3 linked regions of the Danio rerio genome follow. The protein of the gene in region 1 interacts with the protein of each later gene in a pairwise test. Links are inferred from orthologs where the notes say so. Each region holds a gene or a part of one and is shown in the gene's direction. Other genes may lie near its edges.

The links.
Region 2: the proteins of pnrc2 (region 1) and esrrga interact in binary tests that used the Homo sapiens proteins (3 or more experiments, as listed by UniProt). The link is inferred for Danio rerio from reciprocal best matches to the Homo sapiens genes PNRC2 and ESRRG.
Region 3: the proteins of pnrc2 (region 1) and esr1 interact in a two-hybrid assay, tested with the Homo sapiens proteins (2 studies listed by BioGRID and IntAct). The link is inferred for Danio rerio from reciprocal best matches to the Homo sapiens genes PNRC2 and ESR1.

What each region holds. Positions count from the first base shown.
Region 1 is NC_133191.1:36,326,097-36,330,271, reverse strand, and holds the start of pnrc2 (proline-rich nuclear receptor coactivator 2), read left to right. Parts: upstream 1-1,352; 5' UTR 1,353-1,539; intron 1,540-2,046; 5' UTR 2,047-2,264; intron 2,265-2,438; 5' UTR 2,439-2,459; coding exon 2,460-2,906; 3' UTR 2,907-4,175. UniProt on the Homo sapiens protein: Involved in nonsense-mediated mRNA decay (NMD) by acting as a bridge between the mRNA decapping complex and the NMD machinery. May act by targeting the NMD machinery to the P-body and recruiting the decapping machinery to aberrant mRNAs.
Region 2 is NC_133192.1:31,323,493-31,327,776, reverse strand, and holds the start of esrrga (estrogen-related receptor gamma a), read left to right. Parts: upstream 1-1,271; coding exon 1,272-1,674; intron 1,675-4,284. UniProt on the Homo sapiens protein: Orphan receptor that acts as a transcription activator in the absence of bound ligand. Binds specifically to an estrogen response element and activates reporter genes controlled by estrogen response elements.
Region 3 is NC_133195.1:29,094,146-29,098,419, reverse strand, and holds the start of esr1 (estrogen receptor), read left to right. Parts: upstream 1-1,474; 5' UTR 1,475-1,538; coding exon 1,539-1,990; intron 1,991-4,274.

The sequences.
Region 1 (4,175 bases):
AATGCTTCAAGCCATTTAACCTATTCCACTGAGCTGGTCAAAATGTTTAGATGTTTGTTTTTTTTCCACTGGCTGAGGGCGTTTAGCTATTACACACTGTAAAAAATTGAATAAGCCTGGATTGATTTCCAATAACATTCAGTTCATTTGGGACATTCTTAACAGCAAAGTTCTAGAAGCAAAACATCAAGTTGATAATTTTTAATTAGGCCTAAACTGAATGTTTATGTAACTTCTCACTGCTGTTAGACTTAAAACATTCTCAGACTTATAGTGCCATAAAGCATGACACTTTGGTTCAGAAACACCAAATGGCCCATTTGCCTCCTATAATCCATTCATTGATTTAAGACACTACACCCCAAAACAACACCTTCGTCTGTAGCCTTTCAAACACTTTCCCTCCTATTATTATTGGTAGCAGATACCACTTCACAGTTTTTATCTATACCTGTTGTCACATGCAAGCAGGATGCGTCATGTTTCGTCTCAGTTTAAAAGACTAAGTATTTCCTGTATCACATTAATCATCAAGGCTCCTATCTACTATTTTTGTTAGGTTATTAGTATATACTGCATTTCACATTTTGACGTATTATTAACCATTACACAAAATAATCAAGGATTAAATAAAAGTGTTTTGTACTTTTTTTAGTTTTATATGATCATCAACATATTGTATGAATAATCATTTATTACACTGAATTACTTTATATCTGATTGAATACTATTTGTTTAACCCCAGGTTTACATCAGAACATGTTCAAACATATGGTTAAACTCATAAATATGGTTGGTATAGCAAAAAAAATGTGATTCCTATGGTTTTGCTCAAACAACCATGTTGTTCTTCTTTGTTTAATAAGTAGGCCTATGTGAAGTCCTTTTAAGATATCTATCAAAAGCCTGTAAATATTCTTTCATTGTTCACCAGATGTTAACATAAGCACTCACTTCAGTATTAAGAGCTATCTGAAGTATTATGTACAAAGTATCTGTGTCCCTTAAGATATCTGAAGCCTGTGAGTATTCTGTCTTTGTTCAGCTGAAGTTTACATAAAGCACACACTTCTACGAGTGTTGTGCTTTTACTCGAAGATGTGCCAAGGACACCGATCACCAGGTTTAAATGTGTGCATTTTTTGAGATTACACCAACCGGAAGAAACCATGTGATAATAATTTTTATGCCTTCGAGTTATTACAGTAACCAAAATTCCCCACAAACACGCATAACGATCGGTGACGCAGGAACGATGGCAACAGGCGTGTTCTTCGCTCCTATTGGCCGCGCGTCCACAGTGCTGCTTCCTGATTGGCCGCAGCACAACACGTCTGAACTACTTATGCTTTGTTGAGGGTCCATTTTGTTGTTAGACGGAGACGAACTGGAGAAGGAGAACATCATCATTCCGCTGTAGCCTCGGTTTTTTACTGAGCTTCACATATCGGGAAATATTTTCTCCATTTACAGCTACAGCTGACAGACGAGACCAAGGGAATACGAAGGGCTTGTTCCATCAAATTCCTGAGGAAGTCGGTAAGTTGTTTTTCCACAGTCAAAGGTATAGGGAGTCGTCGACTGTGTTGACGCCATGTTGCGTTGAAGAGCCTTTGTTTTGATACGCGGCCAGAAAAGATGACCTAATACTCTTGTTTTTATCATTTAAAATCGAGCTTTTATTATAAAACATTGCAATAATAATGTGTACATTCGAGTTTACTAAAAACCTTGGCTTTTTTGTCGAAAATAATCGCTAGTATGAAGACGTCGATCGCGAAGGAGGAAGATTGAATGCTGTTTATGTAATAACAAATCGGTGATTTGTAATATATTTGCCATTTAAATTAGCCGTTTGTTTTTTAGACTAGTAAATAACAATTATAAACAAGAAGGTTTACTAGTCCATGTTTTGTTGCAATATATGTTTACATTTACACAAAGAAATGGTTTGACTGGGATTTGATATTAGTTTAAATACGTTTTTAGTCATAAACGAATGTATATTTAGTAGATTGAGATGCTTATAAATGTTTGTTTTGTTAGATCTACGGCTTCTAGAGCACCGTGCGCCGAGGTGAATTCATGTTCAACTCGGTTCCACGACAAAACAACGCTCACTGGCACATGAAAACCTCAGATCTTGCTGGACATACATGTGCAGCGAGAAGTAGATCAACTACTTCGAGGACCTGGAGCCCAATTGGCGAGGAAAAATTAAAAAGTGAAAAGAACCACGCACTCAACTTTTTTACAACAGAGAGGTAAGAAGAGGAAGCGAGTGGGGGATGGGCGGGGACGGGCTCGTTTTGCACGTAGCCCTTTGTTTATGTCAGCCTGCATCACTGGGGCACTTATTTATTTTAAGCCTGTTTTGAAGATACTATAAATGCATGTTTTATTTAATATAACAAATCTACACCTTTGTCTTCTGCTAGGTGACATCCAGTCAAAATATAATGGGAGGTGGTGAGAGATACAACATTCCAGATCGCCCAGCACCCAAGAAGAGCCAGCCGGTTAGCAGGGGCAAACAGAGAAGTAGAGACCAGAATGGAGTGATGCATTCTGCCGCCTCAGGAGCCTTAGGGGTGCCCCATCACCTTCGCAGAGGTGAGAAGGGCACCAGCTATTCTTGGTCTCCTGAGGCGCGGCAGGCCGTGTCTGTAGACAAGAAGAATGGCTCTGTTCGTTTTGCCACACCGTACGATCAGAATTGGGAGTCCCATCTGAACAAACTTTTATCAGCTCAGTGTGGTCAGAACTATGCCGGAGCCAAGTTTAGTGAGCCCCCATCCCCAAGTGTGCTGCCCAAGCCCCCAAGCCACTGGGTGTCTCTTCCCATGGGCGATCATCGTGAGTTGATGACCTTTCAGTTAAAGAGCCTCCTGAAGGTTCAGGCCTAACAAGGTCTCTCACTGCTGCTCTCTTAAGCCAATACATGATAAAGGCTTCACTTTGGCCTTTTGCCTTCTCCTTGAACGCCCCAGCTGCGTAATATATTTTACAGCTATTTTTAGATCTGCATCTTAATAAGATGGTGATGATCATTTGGTAGACAGATGTTCCTCCTAATGTCCGTCATCTAACATATTTTTTTAAACAAAGAAACTAGTTATTACGCTGTTGTGGTCTTAAGAAGCGGTCAAGAAGTCTTTGGGGAGCTGTATGCCATGACAAATGATGAACTGGATGTCCTCTTAAACTCATTGCTCTGTTATGCTCCTGTTTTGTTTTGTTCTTTTTTTGATGGCTGTTTGTGACAGTCAGATTTTTTTTCTTCTTCCGCTAGACCTAGAAATAGATGTCAAGACAAACTCGCGCATCGTTTTTACTTTCCAATATATCTCGCATTTTGTTTTTCTTGCTTGCTGAGGTTTGATGCTCACTTTTGGCTTGAGTTTTAATCAAGCTGGGAGTGCCAGAAACTTCTTGGTGCTAAGCACAGCAGCATCTGTAGCGTAATAGTGCGTACTGCATTTCCGGGTATCTCTTTTTGTTTTGCTTTTTGGGAAGTAAAAGCCACTCGACTTTGTTCTGCAGGGAGACCTAAGCGAACAGAACATGAAGGGGTACAAGCTTAAGTGAAAAGGTCATATGACTAACCTCAAGCTTAATGAGGTGGCACAATGAACCTTGTGCTTTCAACACCTGTACTTTTTTAATGGCGCTGTGCGCATTGCACTATAGGTGTTGAATTCACTATGGTTCTCAAGCTCTATTGCAGCGTTAAACTTTTACTTTTTGCATCCCTTGTGTTATAGCTTAGAAAACTAAGTGTGATTTTTAATGTTTACCAAAGCGACGTAATCAGCTACTTTTTGTTGAAAGCCCCCACCTTGCTTGACCAGATCTGGTTACAAGTGCCATAAATCATTGCGTAAGGCATTAGCGTATATCAAGGTTTTGGGTGACGAATCATTTTTTAAAAAATTTCGCTGTACTTTTGGAATGATCACAGAGCAATTATGCGGAGGAGGGTTATGACGTGAGACCGTAGGATGTAAGTTTTCTCTAATCTCGTCTCATAGCCTTGTTTGCTCTGTGATGCATTTTAAATTCCTAAGCATTAAGTTATGAAATGTGTGTATTATGGCACGGGGGAACTGAGAAATCGGGCGCAGGTCCAGTGTGGACATGTTTACATGGTTTGTTTTTTAAAGAAGGCAGACTGC
Region 2 (4,284 bases), on another chromosome or scaffold:
CTCTCCCAGGGCTGTGTGGGTGGAGGGGGCTTCAAGTAAATGGGTTGGTGGTATCGAGCGACGCAGGGTGGGTGGGGTGTGTTCGGCCCGCTCTTTTGTTTGCCTTTGAAGACTCTCTGCTTTTGACGGTGTGGCTGTCTGTTTGGGTTACTGGACTGATACTGTGTGTTTGTGTCTGTATTGTTGATTTTTTATTTTTATTTTTTTCCTCCATCGATGCATGTGAGCGTGTATGGCGACTGGCCACAGGCGAGGATGATGGAAGTGCTTTGCGCCTCCGCACTGATTAGAGTCATGTAGAACAAGTTGATATTGACTGGAAAGTGAGTGATGGCACTGAGCTCTCAGTACTGTCCCTCTCCCTTCCGCCCTGCAGACGCTCATCTGTCATGGTGCATTTGATCACCTGATCCCACCTCTTGATCCACAATCACAAAAAAAAAAGCCTTTAGCACTTTTTTTTGGTGTGCGTAGATGGACAATTTTGGTGCTGGAGAAATGACAGGCTTTGGCTCATGCTCTCTAGCTCTACAATAAATAATTTCAAGTAATTCCTCACCATGTCAAATGAATCCGAACGATCCGAGTGTATAAATATCAAGGACTAAAACCATTAGGACATGACTGGATTTGTTGTGCCACATTTCTTTAGAACTCAATTGGCTGCACACTGGGCTGGCGTAGCGATGTTAGCTCTCCTCTTTACAGCCGTGTAGATATACAACCACTCAGACACTTTAGTGAGACCCAGGGGACCGTGGCACACTGGCTCTCATATGCCTCTCCTCTTATGTTTCCTCTCAGAGAAGTCATTAACATGCTAAAAAACTAGAATTCTGAATTCACAATCAGGGGCTTTTTTTAGCTGCCGAATGCTCTGTTCTCTCCGGCTGAGGTGGAGATGGACCCATGTGCAGGATGAAGGGCTAGGGGGGCAGGGTTCTATGTTTCTATTTCTTTTGTATTTCTTAATGGCTTTGTTTTGGTGACATTTGTAAGTTGTGCCACCTCAAAAGATCATCTCGGACTAATATGAAAACACCAGAATAATGCCATTTAACGCATCTAATGTTGGTCTTTTCTAGTGTTGCACAGTATATCAGAAGTCTTATTGGTATCATTTAATGAATGCTGTTTTTAATGGACTGACAAGAAAATTGCATGTAATTTCTGGCAGTTCTTTCTTTAGTCTTTTCATAAAGATGTTTTCATTGTTAGTCATATTCACTAACACTTCAAATTTGTTTCACATTTTTAGGCTGCTCTGCAGAATGTCCAACAAGGACCGCCACATTGAGTCGAGTTGCCCCTCCTACATAAAGACGGAACCTTCCAGCCCCGCCTCACTAACGGACAGCGTAAATCACCACAGCCCCGGCGGCTCCTCAGACGCCAGCGGTAGCTACAGCTCCACCATGAACGGCCATCAGAACGGCCTGGACTCACCCACTCTTTATGGCCCAACAGGCGCTCTGGGTCCCAGCGGAACTGGTGCCAAGCGTTATGAGGACTGTTCCAGCACCATCACGGAGGACTCACAGATTAAATGCGAGTACATGCTGAACTCCATGCCCAAGCGCCTGTGCCTGGTGTGCGGGGACATCGCTTCTGGTTACCACTATGGCGTTGCCTCCTGCGAGGCCTGCAAGGCCTTTTTCAAGAGGACCATTCAAGGTTGGCTTTTACCCTCCCTCAGCTAGAACTTTGTCTAGGTTTAGGTGGCAGGTTAAAGAGTTAGAGGGACTTAGTCAAAGTGCAATACCTAGAATCAGTGCAAAGCAATTCCATACATCCAGTATCCCCTGGCTTTACACCGCCTAAGCTGCTTTCCGTCCAGTAGATGTGTAAAGCCAGAGGGAGGTAATGCTCTGGCTTATTAGTCGCTGGTATTTGCTGCAAAGCAATAAAGATTTCCTGTCTTTCTGCTTTAGATTAACAAACTTGATCAGTCATTCTAAACCAGAGGTGAGTGCTAATTGAAAAAAACAGAATGTAAATTCTCCTCTAGTTTCTATAAGTGGCAGTGAAGCTCTGAAAAACAAAGTAGGTGCTAAAAATTGGGTCAAATATTATGCTTTACCTGAGCATAATCCAGAAGCCTGGAAGATGGGAATTTGACATATCGGTATGTTTCATCCCATTAGCCAATAAAACTCTAGGTGATTTCCAAAAGCATGCCATCCAGCTGGACATATATTGACTTTCAGACTGGCTGGTTTTTGAGCGAAGGAGCTGGGTTGGGGAGTTCAGGGAAACAGAGGCGTCAGGACTGTGGTTCGGCTTGGGGCGTTGGGACAGGCAACGGCATGGGTGCCACGGCCACTCAACTCACCGGCAGCTGGCATTGCAGTGGCACTCCTCCAATGCCACCTGACAACTTGCATCTATCACCTCCCAATTGAGGCACTCGAAGCCAGGCAGTGGCGAAATACTGGGGGACACACCAAAAATTCAACCTCAGAAAGCCCACAACATTCCCAAATCTTTTCCCACTTCCATTAGGTCAGTCCAAGGTCATGTTGTGGCCATGCTCTGGTAATGAGCTCCATTGGCATTTGACTGCGACTGATGAATGATGGAAGTGTAGCGTTTAGTATGAAGACAGGCAGCAAAAGAAAGCACCTGGGACATTTTATATCTTGTTTGAAACCTTTCGCCTAACGCTTGAGTGATAGACAATGGACATTGCACTAATCGACTGCCACCTAACTCAAATCACATCACTCTATTCTGTCAGCGGAAACACACACACACACACACACATAAACACACAACCTCCTTTCCAATGTGTTGATAACCTGGACACAGCGCTCCAGCCATTGGCATTCGTCTACTGGGAGGAAAGCACCTATATTAGATTGGCAAGGATTTTTTCCTCCCTTAAAATATTCCCAGCTGGTTAAGACTACTCAACCCACTTGAGGCCTCATGAGAATTGCCTTGCATCTCCACACACATCCCCATTCCACATTCACAGATTCTTCCCAATCCGAACACCCTAATGGATTCTGGAGATTACCTGACTAATGAATATTGGAGCTCAGTTTAATGGACATGCATACTTTAAATACTGTTTCCTGTTGAATTAGCAGTCTTGAGCATTTAGCCCCCCTGCTCACGCTGCTAATCTGCTTTTTAATGAGGAAACATCAGTTCACAGAAGAGAAGTCAATACAAATCAGTGTTTACAAAGTCTGATTAACTCTGAAATATTTCATCAGTGTGGAGGTCCCAGACGGGCCCTATGTTAATTGCATGAGTGCGTGTGTGTGTGAGTGTCTGTTTCAGACCAAGACGTGTGCATGTGTGTGTGTATGTGTGCGTGCACGTGTTTGTGCTCTAATGACTGTTCTAAAGTAATTCTCTCCATACACTGATAGTTTTAGCACTGCCATAATCCTTTCCAAACTCTAAATGTGTTATATTAAATTACTATATCTGGCAACTAATTCTTATTACATTGCCAAAGAGCTGTTGAAATGCTTTTATTGGGTGCCAGACTTCTGTTTGTGTGCTGTTTTAAATATAAGCACATATCATTCCCATTTCCCCCTCACACTGCTTCACAATGCTCAAGAACACACTATAACAGTTTAATCTATGCCAGTGCTCTCAGGGATGAGGGATCGGTTGGATCAGGGGTTGTGTTAGTGGTCACCAGGTGATCAAAAGTTCACTCAGAGGTGAATTGTGACCTGCAGGTCTTTGTTTAGGTTTAGGTAAGTCTGGTCTACCTGTCCACCTGCCTCTCTAGCTTCATGACACATGGAGAGTCAGTGGCATTTTCCATAACCCTTTGTGCTCTTATACACACTCACAGATTCAGAGATGATGAGATGTGAGCTCTGTATTACAATCTCTCTTTTTTAAAGTGACAGACTGGGCTTGGATTTGTACTTAGCATATTTTATTGGTTAAGAGTTTAACGTTTGAGAATGTGCATTATTATTTTAATATACAGTGCTCAGTGCTGAGTATATACACCCTCACTAATCTATCTTTTAAATTCATATTTTTAATAGAAAGCTATACAACATTATATTTGTGCATATTCAGTTGAAGAATTATTAGCCCCCCTAAATTATTAGCCTCCCTGTTTATTTTTTCCCCAATTTCTGTTTAACTGAAAGCAGATTTTTTCAACCATTTCTAAATATAATAATTTTAATAATTAATTTCTAATAACTGGTTTATTTTATCTTTGCCATGATGACAGTAAATAATATTTTACAATACATTTCCAAGACACTTCTATACAGCTTAAAGTGACATTTAAAGTTCTAA
Region 3 (4,274 bases), on another chromosome or scaffold:
CAAATCTAATCAACTCTTGCTGAAAAAAAGTGTCAGTTTATTTTATTGTTTTAACAGTACTGTATATTTAAATCCATAGTCAGTCTAATGAAGTTTCCCTAATCAAACAAAAAGCACAACACCCACACACGTTCCATTTCTGTGTAAAATAGCTGCCAGTACAGAGAAATGATTATAATCAAACAGATTTGTTTGTCCCTAGAGAGCTGAATAGCGTCTCCTTCCCTTTTTAACCTCCTGCAAGCATCTTCCAACAAATTTAATTACTCCTTTGACATATAATTTCCCATGGCAGCAGCATGTAAAGTGGTTTCGCAGCGCATCACCTGTAAAACTCAAAGGTTTTGGCAAGTGAATCAAGTGGTGACCTCCTATCTCTTGTTTACCTGGTTGCCATGACCTGCTCTGAGAAGTGACCGTCAGTATCGACCTGGCTGTCTTTAATTTGTTTACCTCCTCTTTTTTTAAGCCAGAGACACAGACAGAGAAAGTAAGAAGGACACAGGAAGTCAGAGATACATCAGTGAGAGACAGAAAGCATCCAGCCTGTAATGGGACTCAAGTAAAACATCAGAGGAGTGAACATTTTGGTGAGGATGCTGGAAAGAATTCAGCAACCAATTTTTCAGCTTTTGTTTTTCTAGTAATGATATTCCATGTGTCTTTTACTCTAGCGTTTTGTAATCGAGCATTGTTTCTATTATTAGTGCTTTCAGTTGAGTTTCCTGTCCTGTTGGTTTCCTGTTTTATAGAAAAGCACACCTTTCAGTTGGGTTTATCCTTTCTTACACTGCAAATAATAATGCTTTTTGTCTTGTGTCTAGTCCAAATACCTAACAATTATCTAAAAAAATGATGTAAAAATACTGTTTTTGTGTTGTTTTGTCCCTTAAAAATAATCTGCCAATGAAGTGGGTAAATAAATCTTAATTTCGGGTTGAAATAAGATCATTTTAAAATCATTTTTGTTGTTTGACATAAAATCTCCCTCAATTTTGACATTATTTCTGTTTCAAAGTAAAACAAAACAATTTTTTTTACTTGTCTAGAAAATGCTTCCTGAATGCTCTTCCTTCCAAAAAAAAAAAAAAAAAAAAAAAAAAAAAGCAGCTTCAAGAAGTCAGAAATGTATTTCTTTGCAGTGTAAATGTAATGCATAAGACATTTGGGGAAAGAAGAACAATGAGGGGGAAAAGATGGGATAAAAGAAAGGCAAAAGAATCAAAATGAAAATGTGTTTAAAGAGGGAAAGACAGGAAGAAAGAGAAAGAAAAGCAGCCTCACGTATCTTAGAAAAACATCATACTTTGTCCTCTCAGCCCAAGGAGGACTGTAGGAGAGGAAGGTAGTTTTTTTTTAGGAGGAGTAGGCAGAGCAGCGAGAGAGTGAAGCGGAAGCGAAGCAGAACAAGGGGGAGAGAGTTTGAGAAAGACTGTGGGAGGTGGAAAAAAAGAAGCCTGAGCTTAAAAAAGACAGAAACAGTCTTTTGCTTATGAACAGATAGTACCCTAAGTCATGCTTCCTGCGTGTGTGTTTCCATGGTGATGTCTGGAGGGCAGACCAGCGGAGAGGCTGTTGGTGCCAGGCAGCGACGCAGGACCAGCCCGAGTCCTGAGAGAGAAGCCCTGGAGGAACCTTCCTCGCCACCTGCCGCCCACAAACTCTCACCCATGTACCCTAAGGAGGAGCACAGCGCGGGGGGCATCAGCTCCTCTGTCAACTACCTAGATGGAGCTTATGAGTACCCGAACCCCACACAGACCTTCGGCACCTCGTCGCCTGCAGAGCCTGCTTCAGTGGGATACTACCCGGCTCCCCCAGACCCCCACGAGGAACATCTACAGACGCTTGGCGGTGGATCAAGCAGCCCCCTCATGTTCGCACCCTCCAGCCCACAGCTGTCCCCGTATCTGAGCCATCACGGAGGACACCACACCACCCCTCATCAGGTGTCCTACTACCTGGATTCCTCGTCCAGCACCGTCTACAGGTCAGTGCAGCAGCAAATTTCAGCTCAGGCTTTAATTAAGTAAATGATGAATATGAAATTAGTTAAAACTATTAAATAAAGTTAGAAATATATAATATAATATATAAAAATATATGGCAACACTTTAAAATAATGGTCTTTGAGTTGATGTATTTACTAACATGAACATACAAATAACACTTTTATTTCGGGTAATAATTGATCTTTGTTAATGTTAGTTAATGTTATTTAAGTTAAAGAATGTTCATTTACTGTGCATTAACTAATGTTAATGTTATTAATGTATTAATGTTGAAATATGATTAATTAATGCTTTGCAAAATTATTCATACTTACAGTTTATTATTACAGAATTATCAGCCCCCTTGTTTATTTTTTCCCCCAGTTTCTGTTTAACAGAGAGAATATTTTTTTTCAACACATTTGTAAACATAATAATTTTGATAACTAATTTTAAATAACTGATTTATTTTATCTTTGCCATGATGACAGTAAATATATGACTGGATATTTTTCAAGACACTTCTGTACAGCTTATAGTGACATTTAAAGGCTTAACTAGGTTAATTAGGTGAAATAGGTAGGTTAGGGTAATTAATCAAGTTATTGTATAGGGATGGTTTGTTCTATAGACTACGGACAAAAATATAGCTTAAAGAGACTAATAATTTTGACCCTAAAATGATTTTTTTTAAAAATTAAAAACTGATTTTATTCTTGCTGAAATAAAACAAATAAAACTTTCTCCAGAAGAAAAAAAAAAATATCAGACATACTGTAAAAAAAGCCTTTCTTTGTTAAACATCATTTAGGAAATATTTAATAAAGAAAAAAATTCAAAGGGGGCTAATAATTCTGACTTCAACTGTAGTTGATGTTAGTAAATGCATTAACTAACAATAACTAATGGACCATCATTGTAAAGTGTTAGAAAATAAATATCATTTTTAGGAACTTTAATGATACTGTGGTTATTGTAATTGTGAAATCCAGGCTAAATTATAGTAAATATGACAGGGATCTTTTTACAATATATCATGTCATTCAAAAATATTTAAAAAATGAACCATAGGATCAATTCCCTAAGTTTAACTGCAGTAAATATGACAGGAAATTTATCATGTCATTAAAGTATTGCCATTTTTATGCTTATTTCTTTTTATTATTATTGCTTATAGTCCTGTATGTAATCATTTTAAATTCTTGCATTTATATCTTATACTTACTGTGTGCTTTTTATGATTTTATTTTATTTTATCATTCTTATGTAAAGTGCCTTGAATTGTTTATGAAATGTCCTATTTAAATAAAAAAATGTGCCTTGCTGGAAGGTTAAACTGTAGTAAATATGTCAGTAAAAGAAAACTATTTTAGTTTTTTAAGATTTAAAAAAGAATTTACTTTTTAAAATGATGAAAAGATTATAAATTTACATTAGCATTTTATGTTTATGGCCCTTTTCATGATGAAATTCAAGCTTAATTAAAGTAAATCTGCGTTAAAGTAAACAGCATTAGATGATTGTGGTAAATATAAAACACAATTACTTTTATGAACATTGAAAATGATTCAAAATTACTCTTAGAATTCATTTATATGGTAAAATCCAGCTTAAACTATAGTAAATATGATAGGAAACAACCTATATTAGATGTTTTTAAGGTTATAACACCGATATGAAATTTTGCCAGGTGGTCAGTAAATCAAATGAGGTGATTTTGACCTGATTTATGATTCATTGAGGCATAATGTTTGCTTTAGCACTCCAATCTTGCTTGGATGCCTGCCTTCCGAGGCTCATTTTTCCAAACAACACCTTGCATAAATGAAACCCGGTGAAAGTCTGCTACATTTGATACCTTTTTACAATTTTGTTATTTAAATGTCTGATTTAATAATAATAATTATTATTATAATAATTTGACACTTTCAAAGTTGAACTGTATGGTAAAACCAACATGTTGATCTACTTCCCCGGAAAACATTATTAGGGAGCATTTATGGAATATGTGGAATAAATGATCATGAGAATTAATTGTCTAAAAGTATCACATAATTTGATATTGTGGTTATTTCATCTAGATATGTACAGATCTCAGCATATATGAGTCCACCCCTCAACAATCTCTCTATTCAATTCATATTTTTAATAGGAAGCTTTACAATTTTATATTTGTGCATATATATATATATATATATATATATATATATATATATATATATATATATATATATATACATTAGATTAGTCAGTACTGAAGCCAAATCTGGAGCTTATCTAACA